4 linked regions of the Arabidopsis thaliana genome follow. The protein of the gene in region 1 purifies or fractionates together with the protein of each later gene. This does not show direct contact. Each region holds a gene or a part of one and is shown in the gene's direction. Other genes may lie near its edges. The genes, in order: ARP4, GTC2, PKL and RIN1.

Region 1 (6,286 bases):
GCCATGGCTCATTGTTGGTTTGGGTAATCCCGGCAAGAAGTACCAGGGCACGCGCCACAACGTATGTCTCTCTCTTGCTTTCTCACTTTGCATTTTCCTTTTCAGCTCGGTAACGTGATCATGAATTGCAGGTTGGTTTTGAGATGGTGGACGCTTTGGCTGATGCAGAAGGCATCTCCATGAACACTGTTAACTTCAAGGCCTTGTTTGGGAAAGGTTCTCTTTTTCATTCTCTTATCTTCTCCATTGTGAATTTTCATTTTGAAATGGTTTTCTTATCTCAAAGTTTGAAACTTTCAAATTTCATACGTCTCAAATGTTTGATGAGGGTGATAGAAACAATGGCTAACTGTTTCCGGAGAATGAATATTGAAATAAATATCATTTTCTGTCTCTGGTTTGTTTCTAACTTTGGGTATTGTTTTCCTTTATCATAGGCGTTATTGGAAATATACCGATTATGCTGGCTAAACCACAAACTTTCATGAACCTAAGTGGTGAGTCTGTAAGTGAGCTCATCGGAAACAAACTTTGGTTTATTTAGTTAACCAATCTCTTTAACTTTTATCACTTGTTATTTTGATTCTTTCTGTTTATGATTGCTGGAATTCTTTGAAGGTTGGACAAATCGTTTCATTTTACAAGATCCCGTTAAAGCAAGTACTTGTGGTATACTTAACCTTCTCTCTCGCTTACTCTCCAAATTCTGGCTCTAGAGTGCATATGCCGTCTTAATTTTTTTTGTCTTTTTCAGGTTTACGATGATTTAGATTTGCCCTTTGGTAAACTACGTTTATTGCCAAAAGGTGGTCACGGAGGCCACAATGGGTACAATGCTTTTCACTCTCTATCTGGCCTGTTGATGTTTTCATTTGTGTTTTAACTTTTAAGTATTGTCTTACTTTTTACTTAAGAAGCAATGTGGATGGATAATAGTTTGCGGTTTCACTATCAAATCATAGAGAAACTCTACAAGAAAACATGATGGGTTGTTCTTTTACTTGCAGGATGAGAAGTATTATAGACCGCCTCAAAGGTAGCCGTGATTTTCCTCGACTAAGAATAGGTACAGTTCTCATTTTTCTCCACTCCGACATATCTTCCCATTTTCTTCTCTGGTTTTGCAAATTGTCGAATGTTTCATTTCAGGGATCGGACGTCCTCCAGGGAAGATGGATACAGCCAATTTTGTTCTCCGCCAGTTCAATAGACAGGAACAGGAAGAGGTAGAAGCAGATTTATCCCATAATTATCTCAAAAAATTTCAGAAAGACATAACCTGATTGTTTTTGGTTTTGCAGTTGGATCACACATTCCAAACCGGGTTAGAGGCAATAAGGATTCTTTTGCTTGAGGGGTTCAACAAAAGTGCAACATTTGTCAACACTCGAAAATCTATGGAGCAACTCAGTTAGAAGTGACATTGTTACATTACATATATTCATATAACAAACTACAAAGTGTTCTTGCTGATTCATTAATAATTTTTTTTTGGTTCCATACTTGAATCCTTTTTGAGCAAATTGTACATCAAAAGATAACCAGATTATTTGTTTATCATAATTTCTATTATGTAACTCGAAAATATGGATTTCAGTATTTGTTCGGCTGTAATTTAAATTATACACTTTCATTAAGCATAGACATTTTATTTGGCAATAAATCAGCTTCGTTTACTGCAAAAAGGGTGGTCACAAAAGTTGGTTCGGTTTAGAAAAATTGTGTTCGGTTCGGTTAGTTTCTTGAATAATTTAAACCCGACGGATTAAATGAGAGGTTTTGTGGTCCCCACAACTCGAACTCAGTAAAACCAAGTCGACCCGATTCAGCTGGATCCGAGATTACAGAGAACCCCGTCCCGTGTTTAAACCCTCCGGCGACAAAGCTCAGATAGAGAACCGCTCCACCCTTGTCGTTCGCTGCAGCCATGTACGGCGGAGGTGGGTTTCTCTTTAAACCCTTGAATTGCTTTGTCGTTTATCTTTTGAGACATTCCTGAGCTGTTTTTTTCCGTGGTGGGTTTTCACAGATGAAGTGTCAGCTATTGTGGTTGACTTGGGTTCGCACACTTGCAAGGCTGGTTACGCCGGTGAAGATGCTCCCAAGGCCGTTTTCCCTTCCGTAAGTCTTAATTACCAGCATTTTATGTCACTATAAGCTTAATGGTGTTATTGTAGATTTGCTCAAGTCCCTTGTATCTTCAGACTCTTAGTTTTTTTTTTGATGTGTTCATAAGGTTATTGGGGCAGTAGATGGTGTAGAGGCAATGGATGTGGATGTTGATTCTACAAAGACTAATTCGAACTCTGAGGATTCGAAGACCGAGTCTGAAAAGGAAAAGAGCAAACGCAAGCTCTATGTAGGATCTCAAGCCATGAGCTACCGCAGAGATCATATGGAGGTTAGTTTTTCTCCTTGATTAATGTTAAAGTTTATAACTTTGTTGGTGAAATTACAGATTGCATTTTCTCTCACCAGGTTTTGTCACCTATAAAAGATGGCATCGTTTCTGACTGGGATTTGGTGGACAATATATGGGAACATGCTTTCAAGTAAATGTGTAAAGCATTATATTTTCTCTTAATTGTTGTTTGCATTTCATCTCTAAAAAAACTTTGTCTTTTAAGGAGTTGTCTGATGATTGATCCTACGGAGCATCCAATGCTGCTAGCTGAGCCTCCTTTAAACACTCAACAGCAGAGAGAGAAGTATGATTTATCTGCTTTGAAATATCCTTTATTACCACTGTTGCTTTATCTTGGTGTGTTACTGATTTTCTCAAATCATATGCTTGACAGGGCGGCAGAGCTAATGTTTGAAAAGTACAAAGTTCCGGCACTGTTTATGGCTAAGAACCCTGTATATTCCCTCTCCCTTGGGTCATCATTCTTTTTGATAGATTATTATATGACGTTCACTGTAATGTTGATATCCAGTCAGCTCTTGTGTAATCAGATGTCTAACTATCTACATGAATTTGGTGTTTTTGGTGCTAGGTTCTCACGTCTTTTGCTACTGGGCGTGCTACTTCTTTGGTTGTTGACTGGTAAGACTTTAAGTATTAAAAGTTTCTCTAGTATGTAGAAGCTACTAATGTTCCACTTCTGCTCTATATGCTGTGAAAGTCTACCTTGTTCTGTATGGTGTATAATTTGAGAAGCACTGATGACACTTTATTGTATTTCTAGCGGTGGAGGATCCACAACCATTTCACCGGTGCATGATGGTTATGTTCTTCAGAAGGTACTTGTATTACACGATTTAGTAAGAATTCAGCTTTGTGATGCTGTTTCTTTGGGTTTGGATTTTGTACTGCAGGAGAAAGTTTCCCATCTCTCGTTTCCATAGTCATCTGTAGCTGCTATAAATTCTCATCCATGTGAATTATGACCTACAGCATTGATGTAGATTGTGATTCTCCGATTGTTGACCATACTTTTATTCGCAGGCTGTTGTATCGTCTCCACTTGGAGGGGAATTTCTCACTGACTGCCTACTGAAAAGCTTGGAGAGTAAAGGAATTAAAGTAGGTTAAAAAAATTCTTCACTGTTCTTTTCTTTTAAGCCAAATTATCTGAGTGATACTGGTTATTTTTTCTGCAGATAAGACCTAGATACTCTTTCAAGAGGAAGGAAGTACGAGCAGGGGAATTCCAGGTGCATATGTGGATCAGTGAATGAAACTACTAGCAGTGAATAGTCTCTAATTTCCTCCCTTTGAATCCTTGCAGGTTGAAGATGTGGATATTCCTGACACCACGGAAAGCTACAAACTCTTCTGCCAGGTCTGTAATTGATTATGAAACTTCGTTTGAAAATTTCAGTTGTGATAATTTGGTGATTTGTTTCAACAGAGGATGATAGTGGGTGATATCAAGGATTCCATTTGTCGAGTTCCTGATACTCCCTATGACGGTACCTTATGTTATTCTGTCTGTCTCTGGTTTCATAAATTTGTTTTATTTCAAAGTTTAAAGTTGCTTGAGAGTTGAACGTTAGATACTTTTTATCTTTCAATGTCATTTGATCGCATAGCCTTAGTTTTTCTGATGTGATGCATTTATCTGCAGATAAATCATATTCAAACATCCCTACTACGTCGTACGAGCTTCCTGATGGCCAGTAAGCTCAGTTTATATGTCTATTTCGGTTTATTTGTGCCTCAAATGTACATGCTACTGTTGCTTTTGTTTTCTACGTATAAGGTTTGAGCTTAGTTTCTAGCCAAATGTACCACTGCTCTGAACCTTGTTTAAGCTGAGATAAGTGCTTAGTTGGATCTGAGTCATTAAAGCCATTGGGCATAAAAGTTTAGAAGAGTCAGACATTGCTTTGGAAACCTGCATGGAACCTAATGTTCATAATGAGAATTAAGTTAAAAGAAAAAGTGCTAGCTTCATTGAAGACAGGAAGCTGCACCTGTAATTTTTGTAGTCTTTCTCAATATCTTATTAACCATGTCTGTTGAAGGACGCTCGAGATTGGTGCTGATAGGTTCAAAGTTCCTGATGTGATGTTCAACCCGTCCATAGTCCAGGTACACCATTTGAGCACGATAAATTCAACAGAAGATTCTGAAGACATTTTGTTTCTTATCTTGAGCGTTTTGAGCCTCGAATTATTTATCAAAGGTTTCTTCTCCGTTTTTATTGCAATTTGCAGACGATTCCTGGAATGGAGAAGTATGCTGAGATGATTCCTTCCGTTCGTGGGTTACCACACATGGTATATGCATGGTATTTAGTCATTGCAAAGCTTCCATCTCTTAACTTTTTCTAACTTTACTCTCCATTTTACTGACTTGTACAGGTCATGGAGAGCATCAACAAATGTGATGTAGACATCCGGAGAGAGTTGTATAGTAGCATACTGGTAAAATAGCAATCAATGCCAACTCTTAAATACCCCTACTTTTAGTTTCGTTGGATGTGGATGATTAACATTTCCTTTCTTCTCGCATTATGCCAGCTTGCTGGTGGCACATCGTCAATGCAACAGCTGAAAGAACGTCTCGAAAAGGACTTGATCGAAGTATTGTGTCCTAAACTCTTTTCCTCTGTCTTTAAAGCTATCCCAGTTTTTATGATGGCGAAAATCATTCATTGGTCCCTCTATCTTTGTTTCAGGAGTCTCCTCACTCAGCTAGAGTTAAAGTGTTGGCAAGCGGTAACACAACAGAAAGAAGATTCAGGTCTGGATTTAGTGTTCACTTCTTCCTCTATAATGAGACCCAAATTTTTTTGCTTGGATCAACCAACAAACATGTTATGTATGTGCAGTGTATGGATAGGAGGGAGTATATTGGCATCACTAGGCTCATTTCAACAGATGTGGTTCTCCAAGTCTGAGTAAGTCTCTGTTCTGATTTTCCATTAATCAGACTCGCAAAGAAACTATAGTTTGTTTTCTCTCCTGACACTCGGATTTGGGGTCTTGGTGTAAATGGCAGGTATGAGGAACATGGAGCTTCCTACATTCAGAGAAAATGCCCTTAAAGCAGGCAGTTTCAGATTATGTGGAGTCTGACAAGACGAAACTTGGAAACTAATGTGTTATTTTCATTGTGCATCGTTGTTCCTTGAAGATTATTAGTATTCCGCCTGAACCTTTTAGAATGAGTGTCATTAACAAGCATTATAGTGCTATTTTAAAAACATAAAAACATGTGGAAGAAGTTTCGTTGCTTTATTAGATTTTCGCACAATCAAGACCGTCCACGTTTTGTTACTACGAACCAAGATAATCCACAAAATTAACAAGAAAATAACAAATCCGAAACTACAAAAAGCAGCTTCATAAGTTTTCTTTTTCTTTTTTAAAAAAGAAGAAAAAATCAGCTTTATCGTGCCTCTCAAAAAGCTAATGACTTCGAAGTTCCAAAATTCCGGTCTTCGAACATATTTTATAGAATAGCAAAATGTTTTGAACCACAAGATTATTAATAATATAAATAATGTAATTGATATTGGTAAGTAATAATACTTTTATTAATCATAAAATGGTCTGAATAATAATAAAGACAAAATGGACGTAACTTCTCCGCCACTACAGACTTACGTGTCATGTCTCCATATCCGCATGCAAAATCCAATAGATGACACATTCTAAATCATCCAATTATATACGCCCACGTGTCAACCTCTGTCTCGTCTCTCTAAATAACGTTTACCGACCTTCTCTTGTGGACGGTAAGAATCGCCGGCGTCCCCTAATATATCGGATTTCAATCCAAAGACACACTCACAATTTAAAAAAAAACGTTTCTTTTCTCTTCGATTCCCGATTA
Region 2 (4,072 bases), on another chromosome or scaffold:
ATGCGAAGATCCAGTTTAGTGGACATGTTCTTCTTCAACCCGTATACTAGGGAGCTTATAAACTTGCCAAAGTGTGAGTTGGCCTTTCAAGCGATTGCTTTCTCTTCGGCCCCTACATCAGGTACTTGTGTGGTGTTAGCGTTAAGACCTTTTACAAGATATATCATCCGTATAAGCATTTGCTATCCTGGAGCAACTGAGTGGATTACTCAAGAATTTTCATGCTCTCTTAGATTTGACCCATACATGCATAGCAACCTTGTCTATGCCAACGATCACTTCTATTGTTTTAGCTCAGGAGGTGTTTTAGTTGACTTTGATGTAGCTTCCCGCACAATGAGTGAACAAGCATGGAATGAACATAGATGCGCTTATATGCGTAATGATAATGCAGAATGGTTTAATCTTCCGAAGAGAATTTACTTGGCTGAGCAGAAAGGAGAGCTCTTTCTCATGTATACATGTAGCAGCGAGATACCGATGGTGTATAAACTTGTCTCCTCAAATTGGGAGGAGATAAATAGTACTACTCTTGACGGCGTGACAATCTTTGCAAGTATGTATTCCTCGGAGACGAGATTGGATGTTCTTGGGATGAGGAACAGTGTGTACTTCCCAAAGTATGGTTTAGATTGCAAGGGATGTGTATCCTACTCGTTTGATGAAGCCAGGTACTATCCGCGTAAGCAGCTTCCAAAACCAACAATATGGCAAATGCAGAAAGAACTTTGCCCTCTTAGGAGTCTGGATCGAGCCACCGTCTAAGGACATCTTAGATGTGATGAAATGATAAGCAAATGGATGATGGTAAAGGTAAGTGAAGCTAGCTTTGAGTTTTCCTATTTTATTTGATATATGTATTTGATCATAGCATGTGTGAAACTTATGGCGACTTTAAGATTCAGTACTGTTAAGCTTTATGTTTTAGCTTTCAAAGTCTTTGTATGTGAATGATTTGAGGCTATGTAAACAGTTTTATTGTTTAACTTCCATAGTCTTTTGCATGTGATTGAATTTTCATATCATTCAAACCGTAATTCTAGCCAAAACCTTTAACATGAAGATATACCCTTTTTGTGACATACTAATGCTAATTTTATTAATCCTATTGAGAATTTAATTTTCATAAGAATAAAATAAAATTAAAGATCATACCCAAAAAAAAAAAGTAATCACAACAACAAAATTTCTCTTTTAATTTTCTCTGATTCAAAACCCTAGCCGTCGTCTGAGCATGGACAAGTTTGTACTATCATGTTCCTCCTTTCTTCATCGACCATCAATAATATGAACTGCAGATTAGGGAAGGAGGTCGCAGATGGAAACGAAAGAAGGATATGAAGAAAGAAAAACGATCGAGAGCTACATATGTTCTTGAAGAGGTTATGATTTACAGTTTCTAAACCCTAGATCTCCTCATGATTTATTAGTATGACATATATATATATATATATAACTTAATACTTCTTCTGTTTTATATTAGTTGTAGTTTAAGATATTTACACACATATTAAGAAATCATAAAAATCTCATTTAATCTACTTTTTTATATAAAAAATATCATTAATTATAACCAATTCAACCAATAAAAAATATATGATTAAATACAATTGGTTAAAAAGTATTAAATATATTTATTATTTGTATATAAAGTTGAAAACAATTTGAAAAAGAAATAAAAACCCTTAAACTACATTTATATAGAAACAGATTTTAATGATAAAAAAGATTTCTTCCTTTTTATTATTTCCTTTTCTCTTTATGTTTGTGTTTACGTTTTCTTATAAATAGAGATTGTTTTCTTCTTAGAAGAGGCATCCGAAATAACTTGTTCTCGTTGAAGTTTACTTTCTTACGTTTTTTTTTCTTCTGTTCTCTTTCAGTTCTATAAAGAGGCTTATTACTTGAAGTTTGATTCTTGGTCTGTGGTTGTATTCGATCAGCTTGCTGGTGACATGTAGCTCTACAAGAATATTAACGACATACCCCAACCTAGGGATTTGATGATCACGGTTGATCACAAGAGCGACACTGTATTGTTACCAATATACGGCAGGATGGTTCCATTCAACGTGACTACAATAAGAACAGTCTTAGGCAATCAAAACACCATCCGTGTAATATTCAATGTCCCGGGTACACCCTTAAACCCTAATGACTCTTTGAAAAACAAGGACGCTATCTACCTCAAGGAGGTTTCATTCCGGACCAAGGATTCAAGGCATAGCAGCGATGTAGTTCAACAGGTTAAGAGCCTCAGACGGAAAGTCATGGCACGGGAGTCAGAGAGAGCTGAGAGAACTTCACTGGTGAACCAAGAAAAACTTCAGATTGTAAGGAACAACTCAAAACCCTTAAGTTTGTCCAATCTGTGGATCCGTCCGCCTTTTAGTGGACGCAAGAAGAATCGTGGGACACTTGAAGCTCATGTCAATGGTTTTAGGTATTCAACGACCAACGAGCGCGTTGATGTCCTGTTTGCAAACATAAAGCATGCGTTTTTTCAGCCGGCGGAGAAGGAGATGACCACCCTCTTACATTTTCATCTCCACAACCACATCATGGTAGGAACCAAGAAAACAAAAGACGTACAGTTTTATGTGGAGGTAATGGATGTTGTGCAGTCTTTAGGAGGTAGGAGGAGATCATCAGCTTATGATGCAGATGAGATTGTTGAAGAACAGAGAGAGCGCGATAGGAAAAATAAGATCAACATGGATTTCAATCACTTTGCAAATCAGGTCAACGATATGTGGCAACTACCCCAGTTTGCAAGTTTGAGCTTAGAGTTTGATCAACCTCTGAGAGAGTTTGGTTTCAATGGTGTCCCCCACAAGACATCTACCTTCATAATACCGACCTCAAGCTGCTTAGTTGAGCTGACAGAATCCCCGTTCTTGGTGGTCTGTCTAAGTGAGATTGAGATTGTGAATCTTGAGAGAGTTGGGTTTGGTCAAAAGAGCTTTGACATGGCTATCATCTTCAAGGACTTGAAGAAAGATGTTCTTAGGGTTGACTCAGTTCCAACAAGTTAGTTAGAGGGGATAAAGGAATGGCTTGACACTACAGATATAAAGTACTACGAGAGCAAACTGAATCTGAACTGGAGACAGATCCTGAAGACGATCACGGATGATCCGCAGAGCTTTACAGATGCTGGAGGATGGGAGTTTTTGAATCAGGACGGAAGCGATTCAGAGTCTGGCGGCTCTGAGGACTCAGACAAAGGGTATGAACCATCAGATGTGGAGGTTGAGTCTGAGTCAGAGGACGAGACATCAGAGAGTGAGTCAGACGATGAAGAAGAAGAAGAGGACTCAGAGCAAGAGTCAGAGGAAGAGAAAGGTAAGACTTGGGCTGAGCTGGAGAGAGAAGCTACTAATGCAGACAGAGAGCATGGAGTTGAGTCTGATAGTGAGGAAGAGAGGAAGAGAAGGAAGATGAAAGCGTTTGGGAAATCGCGTCCTGGAAGTAGCGGTGCAGGCGGTAGTAGCAGCATGAAGAACATGCCACCATCTAAACGCAGCAGGCACCGGTGAAAACAAAATAATCAAGAGTTTGAGTTCTGCTTGCTTATCATTTTAGCCTTTTGTTCTGCTTATCTTTTGTATCATATAAAAAAACTGCTTTAGATTATTATCTATCTATTCTATGCCCTTGGGAAAATAATGAAGTCTTAGGTTTCTTGTCGTTCTTAATAAAATTTGTTTCGACTTAAATTGGCAGAAAATACCATTGTGGCATCCTCTAACGGTTGGTCTTGTAAATAATTAAAGGGTATGCCATAAACCAAAAGGTAAAAATGAATACTTAAGTTATTAAAGAAATCTTGGATTCACCATTATTATTATGAGATACGAAGATGTTCCCACTATTAGTGGTGGTGAGTTTCCTGTGGGACAAGCAATAGAAAGGTTTCCAATCGACGATGTCTAAGAGACAAAACACATCAAAGCTCACAAGCTCATTCACCCATCTCCCTGCTGATGCTGATCTTGTCTTCATCACCCATGCATCAACTTCAACTTAATTAGCTTATATACACAACTCTCTCTGGTATATATAAGAAGAG
Region 3 (5,028 bases), on another chromosome or scaffold:
GATATTTCCCCAAAAGCCAAAAGGGTGATGTGAGACCGTTATACTTGACATATTTTATATATTTTATTTATATAACCTATTTTGGATCGTTTCCAACTATAAGATATGGGGTTGATAATTTTTGATTGTACATGAAGATTTTGTGTCCTTTGTATTGTATTCTATAGTCGAACTTGGACCACGTGTAATAACACCGGAGCACGCATTTTATAAGCTTTATGCTAGTATCCATACGATTAAATTATAGTTCATCATCATTTGTTATACTATATATTGATGTCACATAATAATTCAGATTTAAATATGGTAATGTGTTTGTGAACTATCCAAAAAATTTCAAAGAAATATACCAAAAATTTAATAGTTAAAATCTGAAAACAAAGCATGTAATTTAAGCTACAATTGTTATTACATATTGTAAGGGCTACGCAATTAGTTCTTGACAGTTGGTTGACTACATAACACTTGCTGAAACCTACGTTTTAGCGTTGGATATCTCTCTATATATTTTTGGTCAATGTCGTTGGAGATTGAATCCTAGATTAAATCCTACAAGAAGAAGAAAGCTTCATGAGAAGAAGAAGATGAAGAAAAGAGAAGAAGCCAAGCTTGGAAGAAGAGAAGAAGAAGATGTCGTGACCAAAGGAGGAAGAAGAGAATAAGAAGTTGTCGTGACCACTGACCAAAGGAGGAAGAAGAGTCAACGACACAAATCCAACATAAGAACGGAGTTGGATTTGTGTTTTGTAATAAGGCCATTGGGCCGTAAGTGAATTATAGCCCCACAAGTGTTAGTGGGTTTGGTTGGTTAAGTTTAAGCTAAATAAGTTAAGGTGGATATAACAAACATAGTTGCACCAATGCATCTCAGCTCACCTGGTCTAAGCAACGGTTTCAAGAAGTTGCTCGCTTCTATTGCTCCACGCCTCCACAAGTAGCTCCTACACAAGAGTAATAACTCATTAGTATAGAGACACAAGATTATACAAGAAATACTTAGTAGACATAATTGTTCATCTCCAGTGTTAATCCTCAATAATTGTTCGATGCAGTATTCTTCTAATGAGATGAAAAATCATTTTTATAGAGTTACCACCCATCAAAACCATTTATACAAAACGTTTTACTTGGTCAGAGTAAAAAAATGCATACAAGTATTGTGTATAAATAAAAAGGTCATCTATTAATGTATAATCTGAATCAAAAAAAGAAAGAGCACCTGCACCAATAACAATGTGAATCTCATCAATGAACAAGATTGTTTGCCCATTCGAAGCATATACTTCCTTCAATATTGTTTTAAACCTTGTCTCAAAATCTTCTCCATAATTAGCACCAACAAGGAGTGAACCCACGTCAAGAGATTTCAGCTCCATGATAAATAGCGAAACCAAGCAAAGCATGTTAAATCTTCCTCTAGCCTCTTTGAGGGGAAAAGGTAAATAAACTTAAATATTTAAAAATATCTAAGTTTATATAATAACAATATTGGGTAAGTGAAAAGTAATTGTCATTATTTTTGACACTTATTTTTATAAGTTAGAAGTAATTATAATTTTTTCAAACAAAAAAGTAAGTTTTTTGTGTGTGAAAAAATAATGATATTGAGAAGGTAATTTAATTAGAGGTGATATTTTATACCTTAAGAAGTGTATTAAAGTTAATAATAACCATAAGTTAAAATTGGTAAGCTAAATGTTAGAAATCATTTGTGTTGTCTGAATTTTCAAGTTTCGTTCGTTTCGGATTACTTTCTTCTTCTGCAAAAACAGATCCCAACCATTTCAAAGGTTCGTCTTCTCCTTCTCTTCCACACTCTTCTCTGCTTCACTTTTTACTCTATCTTCGACTAGTAATATCGCTTTCGACTTCTCAAATTACTTCTCAAGTTACTATTTTTCTCTTCCTTTCTTTCAAATTTTCGTTACAAACTGAGTTTGAAACTGTTTGGGTTTTGTAAAGTTTTGATCTTTTCATGATATTGCGGTAAGAGATTGTTAATTCGACTTCTGGGTACTCACATTTCGATGCTCAATTGTTTATTCTTATGGGTAATTTTGGCTAGGGTTTTTTCCAATTTCTCTCTCGTTCTCTTTCACAAGGTTAGTCGATCTTGCTCATGTGGTATAGAGTTTGATGAATCGAGTTGTTTAGTAGCTATTGTACGAACTATCTCTTGATATAGTTGTAAAGGTTTTAGATTGGGAACAAAAAATTTCACTGTGATGTTTGTTTAGGTAGTAGAGTTCAATTGTGTGAAACTCTAATTTCATAGTTTGCTTAAGTCTCAGAACTAGCACTGAGTCTATTGTTATATGTGTTGTTTATGTAAGTTTGTTGTTATTGATGGGAGATATGTTTTGTGTGCAGAAAATGAGTAGTTTGGTGGAGAGGCTTCGCATACGATCTGATAGGAAACCAGTTTATAACCTAGATGATTCTGATGATGACGACTTCGTTCCTAAAAAAGATCGAACCTTTGAGCAAGTCGAGGCTATTGTCAGAACTGATGCGGTTTGTTTCTCCTCTCGAGCTTATTGTTCAGCTTTTACTGTTTTATGTGTTCTATTTTAATCCTTTTTTTTGTGTTGTTACTCTGAATTTGTAGAAAGAAAATGCATGTCAGGCTTGTGGGGAAAGTACTAATCTTGTAAGCTGCAATACATGCACTTATGCGTTCCATGCTAAATGCTTAGTTCCACCTCTTAAAGATGCTTCCGTGGAAAATTGGAGATGCCCTGAATGTGTAAGATTTTAGTTACGGTCCACAATTATGTTTTGGGATGCTACAGGTTCCATTTTTCTTACATGGAAGAATTGTTGTTTACATTTGCAGGTTAGTCCTCTTAACGAGATAGATAAGATATTGGATTGTGAAATGCGTCCTACAAAATCTAGTGAACAAGGTTCCTCCGATGCGGAACCGAAGCCAATTTTTGTGAAACAGTATCTCGTGAAGTGGAAGGGATTATCATACCTTCACTGCTCTTGGTAGTTACTGCGTGTCTTTTTTGCTGTCTGGACACGCTAATTATCAATGTTTCTTTCTGTGAACACTATAATATGTGATTTATTTCCTTTTACTAATCATAGGGTGCCTGAGAAGGAGTTCCAGAAGGCTTATAAGTCAAATCATCGTTTAAAAACCAGAGTGAACAATTTTCACCGTCAAATGGAGTCATTCAATAACAGCGAAGATGATTTTGTTGCCATACGTCCTGAGTGGACCACTGTTGATCGGATTCTTGCCTGCAGGTCTAGAGAATGGAATTAATTCCTTTATTTATCTATCTGCCAACTTTTTTTTTAATATCCTTGTTTTCAGCATAATCCATTCTCTAATAAACACGTATCTTTGATAGAGTGCTGCTTAACCTAAATTTACTGTTATCACGATTTTGGGTCTCTGAAACATGATAAATGACCTGCTTACCTTTTTTTTCTTCTTTTTAAGTTACCATTTTCTTAGTTGTTTCGTAAATCAGGAATTGTGACAGTTGCATTGGTTTCTTTTATGATATAGAGAGGAAGATGGGGAGCTGGAATATCTTGTCAAATATAAAGAGCTATCCTATGATGAATGTTATTGGGAGTCAGAATCAGACATCTCAACCTTCCAGAATGAAATTCAAAGGTTCAAGGATGTAAATTCTAGAACTCGCAGAAGTAAAGATGTTGACCATAAAAGAAATCCCAGAGACTTTCAACAGTTTGATCATACTCCTGAATTCCTCAAAGGTATTTGGATCACCTTAAATCATATACTATAAATGTTTCTTATATTTGGTACTTATAGATGTTATGATTTATTTGTTTCCTGCGATTGAAGGCTTGTTACATCCATACCAGCTTGAGGGACTTAATTTTTTGCGGTTCTCGTGGTCAAAACAGACGCATGTAATCCTTGCTGATGAAATGGGACTAGGTAATTTTTCAATTGTCCCACTTGGGTGGTCACATAGATCTTTTCATCCATTGTAAGGGGCCTTTGTTTTCTATTCCTGTAATGTTGTGAGATTTTTCCTGTTACAGGCAAGACAATTCAAAGCATTGCCCTTTTAGCTTCACTTTTTGAGGAGAACCTCATTCCGCATTTGGTAATTGCTCCTCTATCGACTCTGCGTAACTGGGAGAGAGAGTTTGCCACATGGGCCCCACAGATGAACGTGGTATGTATGCAGTTATACACGCAATGATCTGTGCCATTTGTATGTTTTTGTTGTTTGTTAATGGAATGGTCTTCGTGGTCATTTGACGGGTAGGTTATGTATTTTGGCACTGCGCAAGCTCGAGCAGTTATCAGAGAACATGAGTTTTACTTATCGAAAGATCAAAAAAAGATCAAGAAAAAGAAATCTGGACAAATAAGTAGCGAAAGCAAGCAAAAAAGAATCAAGTTTGATGTCCTCCTCACATCGTATGAGATGATCAACCTAGATTCAGCAGTTCTAAAACCAATTAAGTGGGAGTGCATGGTAACTCTTATTCTCTAATGAGACTTTACTTTCTCTTAGTCGTCTCTCTTTCTCTCTTACATGTTGCCTAGTAACAATTGTTTTGGGCAGATTGTTGATGAAGGTCATCGACTGAAAAATAAGGATTCAAAGCTGTTCTCTTCATTGACACAGTATTCAAGTAACCACCGTATTCTTCTGACAGGAACACCACTTCAGGTTCGTCATTTGAGTTTGATTTCTGAAGTTTATACTTTCAATAGTTGTATCTGAGCATAGTAGCTACGATTTGCAATGAGAATTGTTATATATTATCTTGCACTAATGTCTTACCTGATTAGTTGCAATATGTTACTGATGATTATGTGGTGCCTTTACAGAACAACTTGGATGAACTTTTCATGCTCATGCATTTTCTTGATGCGGGGAAGGTATCACAAGAATAGCAAAGATAAATAAGTTCGCATACTTAACAGAATTTTATGTAGCTAACATGTTATTTGATTGCACAATACTTGCAGTTTGGAAGTTTGGAGGAGTTCCAGGAGGAGTTCAAAGATATTAATCAAGAGGA
Region 4 (5,865 bases), on another chromosome or scaffold:
AATACAAAAGCAAGTTCAGAGCAATGTGAGTATGGGAAGTGAGAAGAAAACGTGACCAGACTAAAAAGTTGTCAAGGTCTTTACTTTTTAGACTTTTTTTTCAGGAAGATATCAGGAACAGCTTCACGTGATAGACCATCAGCGTATCCATACAAAAGCTGAAGGTACAAGCAACTGCACTATGATCAGATTTGGTTAGGAATACGCGAGTGCTCGATCAAGCATGTTGCAGAACTATATCTTACAACGTCAAGGTCTATTTATGTACAAACCAATTAAAATAGACAACTAACCTGAATAGAACCCCAACTGCATAACTGACTGCAGCCTGTCATATGTCAGAATATTTCTTTCAGACACATTTTCGTATAGAGAAGCCATAGTATAAACTGGTTAGAGCTTTGACAGAGCTTACCTGAACTGATAAAGCTAGTAAACAGTATCCGCTGCATCCAGTTCCAATTACAATCGACAGGTACATGAGTTCACGCTTCAGCTACAAAAATAAAGACACAAACGCAGCAATTTCAAAGTTCATTCTACACAAATTGACTACTGGTACATACTGAACAGCCATTTTGCATAATAGAGTGTTTTGTTGAATCATAAAGATCTGACTGGCAGACTAATTAAGAAAACATACTGAAAGGAATAATCATACAGCTTCATATTTCAGAAAGTTAAACTTCTTCCTTCTCTCGCTGTCATCTCGTAGTGCCTGCAATCAAGGAAGTAGGACAAACGCAGCAGAGTTTTGCAATGAGAAGGACGTGTGAATGAATGAATACAGAGAACAAGAACATTCATAAATAGATGACCAACCTTAGCTAGAGCTTTCTTATTCATGGGGGCAGAATCACTCTCCCAACCAATCCATTCTTGTGTCGGTTTAAGTTTCAAGAAACCACTTTCATCATCATCAGCGCCATCTATCAAGCTTTCCTGCATATACAACATAAAGACATTAATAAAGGAGCTATACCAAGTTACCAACCAAAGTAACAGTACCAAGTATAAGATTGTTGCCATGAAAGCTATAAATTTGTGAGATTTCAGAAATTCACAAACCAATACTGGATTTCATAAAAATGTAGTCACTCACATAACAATTGCAACAGGATCATATAACTATCAAACTATTCCTCGATACAAAGTTAGCAATTTTAATCGTCAAAAGCAAACTTAGAACTGAAGAAAAAAAACTAGCTACAGTTACTAATGAACAAGTGAAAGAAACTTAACCCGAGTATCATCTAGTTCAACAGCTGAAGAAGAAGCTCCATTGGAATTAACATCAATAGATTCGAGAATCTCCTTTAACCAGAGCCTATCAGAAACTTTAGATATGAAATCTCCATTTTCTTCTCTGTCTTTCATGAACATTTGCAACACATCCTCCTCCACTAGCTCACTCACTAAAAACAAAGCAAAAGACATGAAATTTTCCACAAAGAGCGAACATTTGAGTAGTAAGGTTCAATGTAGAGAGAGAGATTGTCACCAGAGCGAGAAGCGGCATTAATGGCGGCCAAGCGATGGGAATTCCTGTTGGGAGGTCGCCGGAGATGATGCGGCGGAGAAACTCTCACCTTCGTCGGAGGAATGGTTCCGCCGGAAAACCAAGAAGCGGCGGGAATCGAGAGACTCTCCATGTAGCGAGAGAGTGAGACGGCCTCTGGTTTTTTTCCAGAAGAAGAAGCTTATCACTATTGTTGATGAAGAGAAAGAAAGTTTCCAAAAAGAAGACCCTTTTATTATTCATATATTATAATTTCACCCCTTAATTTACATTTATGACTATTGAGTCCTGTCTTTTTGTTTCGCCCTTTTCTCTAATTGTTTTCGTTTTCTTTCTATTTCTGAGTTTAGGAAGTGTGGGGTGATTTTGTAAATAAAGGATAATATAAAGGCCCATTGTTGCAACAACATGTTTAACATATAAACTTTGTTAGGAAGAGGTTTTGGCAATTTGGAGTCAGAGGGAGGCGTTGCAAACTCAATAAAGCTCAAAACTTTCCGCCGTCGTTTTCGTCGTCGGAGAATACAACAAAAGACCTAAAGCAGATCAAAGTAATTGTAGTTGACGGAGATGGAGAAAGTAAAGATTGAAGAAATTCAGTCCACCGCTAAGAAACAACGGATTGCTACTCACACCCATATCAAAGGCCTTGGCCTCGAGGTGCTCCTTCTCCTCTCTCTCTTTGACTCTAGTGGATTCCAGTAGTTTGCTCGAGTTTAGGGTTTAGTTAAGGTTTTATGTTCTAAGCTTTTTTAGGGTTTTAAAGCTATTTGCTTCGTTTGGTACTACGCTTAGAGTTTCTTTTCTCTGTTCTAGCACAAACAAACCCTAGTTTTCATTTGTAAAGTTTCGACTTTTCTGGGGATAAGATGCATTGCAGTATTCTCGTATTGCTCAAAGTTCTTTAAGGTTTTGTGTTTAAAGTTTAATGATTTTTAGGGGTTTCAAGCTCATTGCTTCGTTTGGTATTCTCCGAGACTCTTTTTTCGGCTCTAGCACAATTATACTCTAGTTTTGATTTGCAAATATTCAATTTTAATACATGTATTTTATGAAATATATAGTACTTGACCGATGTTTGAAGACCTTTGCTCTTCCACTTTGGCACGGCACTTTGATTTTAATTAACTATCTTTGCTTCTTTTACTGACTGTAGTTTCTCAAGCATCTGTGTGATCTCGTTCTATAACCAGTACATCATTTCTGTTGCTAATGTTGCGTCTCTTTTTCTAGCCAACTGGTATCCCTATAAAATTGGCAGCTGGATTTGTTGGTCAACTTGAGGCTAGAGAGGCAGCTGGTCTTGTAGTTGACATGATTAAGCAGAAGAAAATGGCGGGCAAGGCTCTTTTGCTTGCTGGACCTCCTGGAACTGGGAAAACAGCTTTGGCTCTTGGAATCTCTCAAGAGCTGGGAAGCAAGGTAATTTTGGATGTCTCATTTTGTATCTTCTTTGTTACATTGTTTCCACATGGCTTCATTGTATGAAGCTTTTTTCTTTTACTTTTAGCTTATTTTATCTGGATTGTTTCTTTCTTGCAGGTTCCATTCTGTCCAATGGTTGGATCTGAGGTTTACTCATCAGAGGTTAAGAAAACAGAGGTTCTCATGGAGAATTTTAGACGTGCCATTGGTCTACGTATCAAGGAAACCAAAGAAGTCTATGAAGGGGAGGTGTGTTGCTATTTGCGGTTTCTTTTGCTGTGTTCTTATGCAATAGCATGTCTCGCTAATTGGTTTTTGACATGTTGTCCTTGTGTTCTAGGTCACCGAGCTGTCACCAGAAGAAACTGAAAGCCTCACTGGAGGTTATGGTAAAAGCATCAGCCATGTTGTAATTACACTCAAGACAGTCAAAGGAACCAAACATCTGAAATTGGATCCCACTATCTATGATGCCTTGATTAAGGAAAAGGTCAGTTCTTGGCATGCGATGCTATGCTTTGGATGTGGTATTTTCCCCTAAGTTTTTGCTTTTCAGTTTGTTCCAAAACCTGCTTTTCTTTTCACCTTTTTGGTTTTCTAACGATGTCATTCTGTGGGGACAATTGTGTATGAATTTGCTGATTACTTTGTCATTCTGATTGGTTTCTTTTTATATTTTTGCTGTTTGCCTCTCAGGTAGCTGTAGGAGATGTAATCTATATCGAAGCAAACAGTGGAGCTGTCAAACGGGTAGGTAGAAGTGATGCTTTTGCCACTGAATTTGATCTGGAAGCAGAAGAATATGTTCCACTTCCCAAAGGAGAGGTCCACAAAAAGAAAGAGATAGTGCAGGTTTACCTTCTTTGACCTCTCCCTTCTGTGTAGAGTAATTATTTTCTTTGTTGATTTATTATCTGTTATGTATTAGTTTGTATGTGTATTAACCTTAGTTCCTAAGTTTATTAAGACTACTTGTTACTCAACTAGACCATATACTTTTGACTGATAGGATGTCACACTCCAAGATCTGGATGCAGCAAATGCTCGACCTCAAGGTGGCCAGGATATACTTTCTTTGATGGGCCAAATGATGAAACCGCGGAAGACTGAGATCACTGATAAGCTTCGGCAAGAAATTAACAAGGTGATTTTCGCTAGTACATGGGTGATTTTTTTAAGCATCTTACTTTCTCTTTTGCAAGGTCTAATATTTTTATATGCCATTGTAGGTTGTGAACCGATATATAGATGAAGGTGTGGCAGAGCTTGTTCCAGGAGTTCTATTTATTGATGAGGTATTTTCCCAAATAAAGTTTTTTTTCATTCCACTATTGATCTTGCTCAGGACTCAGGAGCAGTAAGAATACCTTTGTTTAATTATAAAACCTCAGGTTCATATGCTTGATATGGAGTGCTTCTCATACTTGAACCGTGCTCTTGAGAGCTCATTATCTCCGATAGTGATATTTGCAACAAATAGAGGTGTTTGCAACGTAAGGTGAGAAGAGCGCTAGACCTTGATAGACATTTTCCTTTGGAAATCTTGTGAGTTTTTGTTAACTTGGTACTGTGATTTACTTTATTTGCAGAGGGACTGATATGCCCAGCCCCCATGGAGTCCCTATTGATCTATTAGATCGATTGGTTATCATCCGGACTCAAATCTATGATCCCTCTGAAATGATCCAGGTTACTCAATTGTCATTTAGCTTTTGGATTTCAATTACTACGAACAACATTCTAATAGATTTATCATTTTGTTCACAGATTATAGCCATTCGTGCGCAAGTTGAAGAATTAACCGTGGATGAAGAATGCTTGGTTCTACTTGGGGAGATTGGGCAAAGAACTTCACTAAGGTACTGTCATCATTGCTTTTCTAAGCAAAATTTCTGTTCGTGAATCTAAATACTAAAACCTTTTTTGTGCTTTCACTCTCAGGCACGCTGTGCAGCTTCTGTCTCCTGCCAGCATTGTAGCGAAAATGAATGGCCGTGACAATATTTGCAAGGTAGATTTACTTGTGAAATCTTAGAACAATAAAACAAATGTAAAATATGTGGATGTTATGTTATTAATCCTTCATCTTAAATTTTGACAGGCTGATATAGAGGAAGTAACATCACTCTACTTGGATGCTAAATCTTCAGCAAAGCTTTTGCATGAGCAACAAGAAAAATACATCTCATGAGAAGAACACTAATCGCACATTTTGTTGAAACATCTCATAATTTTTCTGTCGTTTTATTTTGTAATGTCGGAATATGGAGAATGTCTAATGGGATTACAATTTGGTTTCTCTGAATTCATTTATTTATGTGCTATTTTTTTGTTTGTGGTGCTAACTAATGAAAACTGAAATATGGTTTCACGTGTATACACATACATGGTCGTGAGATTCAAACTTTTGGTTTCATATTGAGTTCCCTTGTTACATTACAATACACTTATTCAAGATCAAACTGTTTGTGGAACATAACATTGTGTAATTGTCTATTTGGTTACTGTTAAAAGTTGATGTTGCGCCAAAAAGAAAGAAAAAAAACTCTATTATCAGAACAGAGTCAGCAGAGTCGGAGATTATAAAACTTGAGGATCAAAGTGGGAGGAGTACCATAAGAGGGTGTCCCTGATCCGTACAATAATAACAAGGTCAAATGTATAAACAATAGAAAACTGTGGGGTTTTTGGGTAAAGACTTATCACGGTTGGGAACAGAGACAATCTTTTGAATAAGGTGAAACCAAAAGACTAGGGTTTTGTGTGACAAGGAAGAAGACGAAGACGGCGATGAATTCGTTAACCGTTGAACAAGTATTGAAAGAGAAGAAGACCAATGACCCAGATTCCGTCAAGGAACTTAATCTCGGCCATAAAGCTCTCACCGACGTGAGTATTGTTTCTGTTCTGAAACTCTGTTC

The links.
Region 2: the proteins of ARP4 (region 1) and GTC2 fractionate together in Arabidopsis thaliana (co-fractionation; one large-scale study listed by BioGRID). This does not show direct contact.
Region 3: the proteins of ARP4 (region 1) and PKL fractionate together in Arabidopsis thaliana (co-fractionation; one large-scale study listed by BioGRID). This does not show direct contact.
Region 4: the proteins of ARP4 (region 1) and RIN1 purify together in Arabidopsis thaliana (affinity purification with mass spectrometry; 2 studies listed by BioGRID, with this or other methods). This does not show direct contact.

The regions. Positions count from the first base shown.
Region 1 is NC_003070.9:6,346,272-6,352,557, forward strand, and holds ARP4 (actin-related protein 4), read left to right. Parts: upstream 1-1,776; 5' UTR 1,777-1,927; coding exon 1,928-1,940; intron 1,941-2,029; coding exon 2,030-2,121; intron 2,122-2,236; coding exon 2,237-2,401; intron 2,402-2,478; coding exon 2,479-2,552; intron 2,553-2,627; coding exon 2,628-2,708; intron 2,709-2,798; coding exon 2,799-2,859; intron 2,860-2,996; coding exon 2,997-3,046; intron 3,047-3,188; coding exon 3,189-3,243; intron 3,244-3,448; coding exon 3,449-3,526; intron 3,527-3,603; coding exon 3,604-3,657; intron 3,658-3,731; coding exon 3,732-3,785; intron 3,786-3,854; coding exon 3,855-3,915; intron 3,916-4,070; coding exon 4,071-4,122; intron 4,123-4,470; coding exon 4,471-4,537; intron 4,538-4,662; coding exon 4,663-4,725; intron 4,726-4,809; coding exon 4,810-4,872; intron 4,873-4,968; coding exon 4,969-5,031; intron 5,032-5,126; coding exon 5,127-5,191; intron 5,192-5,279; coding exon 5,280-5,348; intron 5,349-5,449; and 3 more. Other genes in the region: AT1G18440 (Peptidyl-tRNA hydrolase family protein), read left to right, coding at 1-61, 132-216, 438-505, 619-669, 755-828, 1,008-1,066, 1,150-1,226, 1,302-1,415. UniProt on the Arabidopsis thaliana protein: Involved in several developmental processes including organization of plant organs, flowering time, anther development, flower senescence and fertility, probably by regulating the chromatin structure.
Region 2 is NC_003075.7:6,582,724-6,586,795, forward strand, and holds GTC2 (GTC2), read left to right. Parts: upstream 1-2,003; coding exon 2,004-3,035; 3' UTR 3,036-3,539; downstream 3,540-4,072. Other genes in the region: AT4G10660 (CDC68-like protein), read left to right, coding at 1-765.
Region 3 is NC_003071.7:10,712,038-10,717,065, forward strand, and holds the start of PKL (chromatin remodeling factor CHD3 (PICKLE)), read left to right. Parts: upstream 1-2,027; coding exon 2,028-2,102; intron 2,103-2,370; coding exon 2,371-2,514; intron 2,515-2,608; coding exon 2,609-2,746; intron 2,747-2,836; coding exon 2,837-2,991; intron 2,992-3,093; coding exon 3,094-3,255; intron 3,256-3,523; coding exon 3,524-3,738; intron 3,739-3,829; coding exon 3,830-3,925; intron 3,926-4,032; coding exon 4,033-4,169; intron 4,170-4,262; coding exon 4,263-4,475; intron 4,476-4,565; coding exon 4,566-4,673; intron 4,674-4,834; coding exon 4,835-4,885; intron 4,886-4,975; coding exon 4,976-5,028. Other genes in the region: AT2G25169 (uncharacterized protein), read right to left, coding at 569-678, 877-941, 1,306-1,421, 1,894-1,977. UniProt on the Arabidopsis thaliana protein: Chromatin remodeling factor that represses the expression of embryonic trait genes (such as NFYB9/LEC1) upon and after seed germination and thus enables the developmental switch to post-germinative growth. Silences some MADS-box proteins such as PHE1 and PHE2.
Region 4 is NC_003076.8:7,390,296-7,396,160, reverse strand, and holds RIN1 (P-loop containing nucleoside triphosphate hydrolases superfamily protein), read left to right. Parts: upstream 1-1,880; 5' UTR 1,881-2,089; coding exon 2,090-2,179; intron 2,180-2,752; coding exon 2,753-2,941; intron 2,942-3,061; coding exon 3,062-3,193; intron 3,194-3,284; coding exon 3,285-3,434; intron 3,435-3,640; coding exon 3,641-3,796; intron 3,797-3,953; coding exon 3,954-4,088; intron 4,089-4,173; coding exon 4,174-4,239; intron 4,240-4,335; coding exon 4,336-4,442; intron 4,443-4,533; coding exon 4,534-4,633; intron 4,634-4,711; coding exon 4,712-4,803; intron 4,804-4,885; coding exon 4,886-4,955; intron 4,956-5,045; coding exon 5,046-5,135; 3' UTR 5,136-5,365; downstream 5,366-5,865. Other genes in the region: AT5G22340 (NF-kappa-B inhibitor-like protein), read right to left, coding at 85-174, 294-328, 416-496, 662-718, 823-942, 1,243-1,415, 1,502-1,652; AT5G22320 (Leucine-rich repeat (LRR) family protein), read left to right, coding at 5,735-5,833. UniProt on the Arabidopsis thaliana protein: Proposed core component of the chromatin remodeling INO80 complex which is involved in transcriptional regulation, DNA replication and probably DNA repair.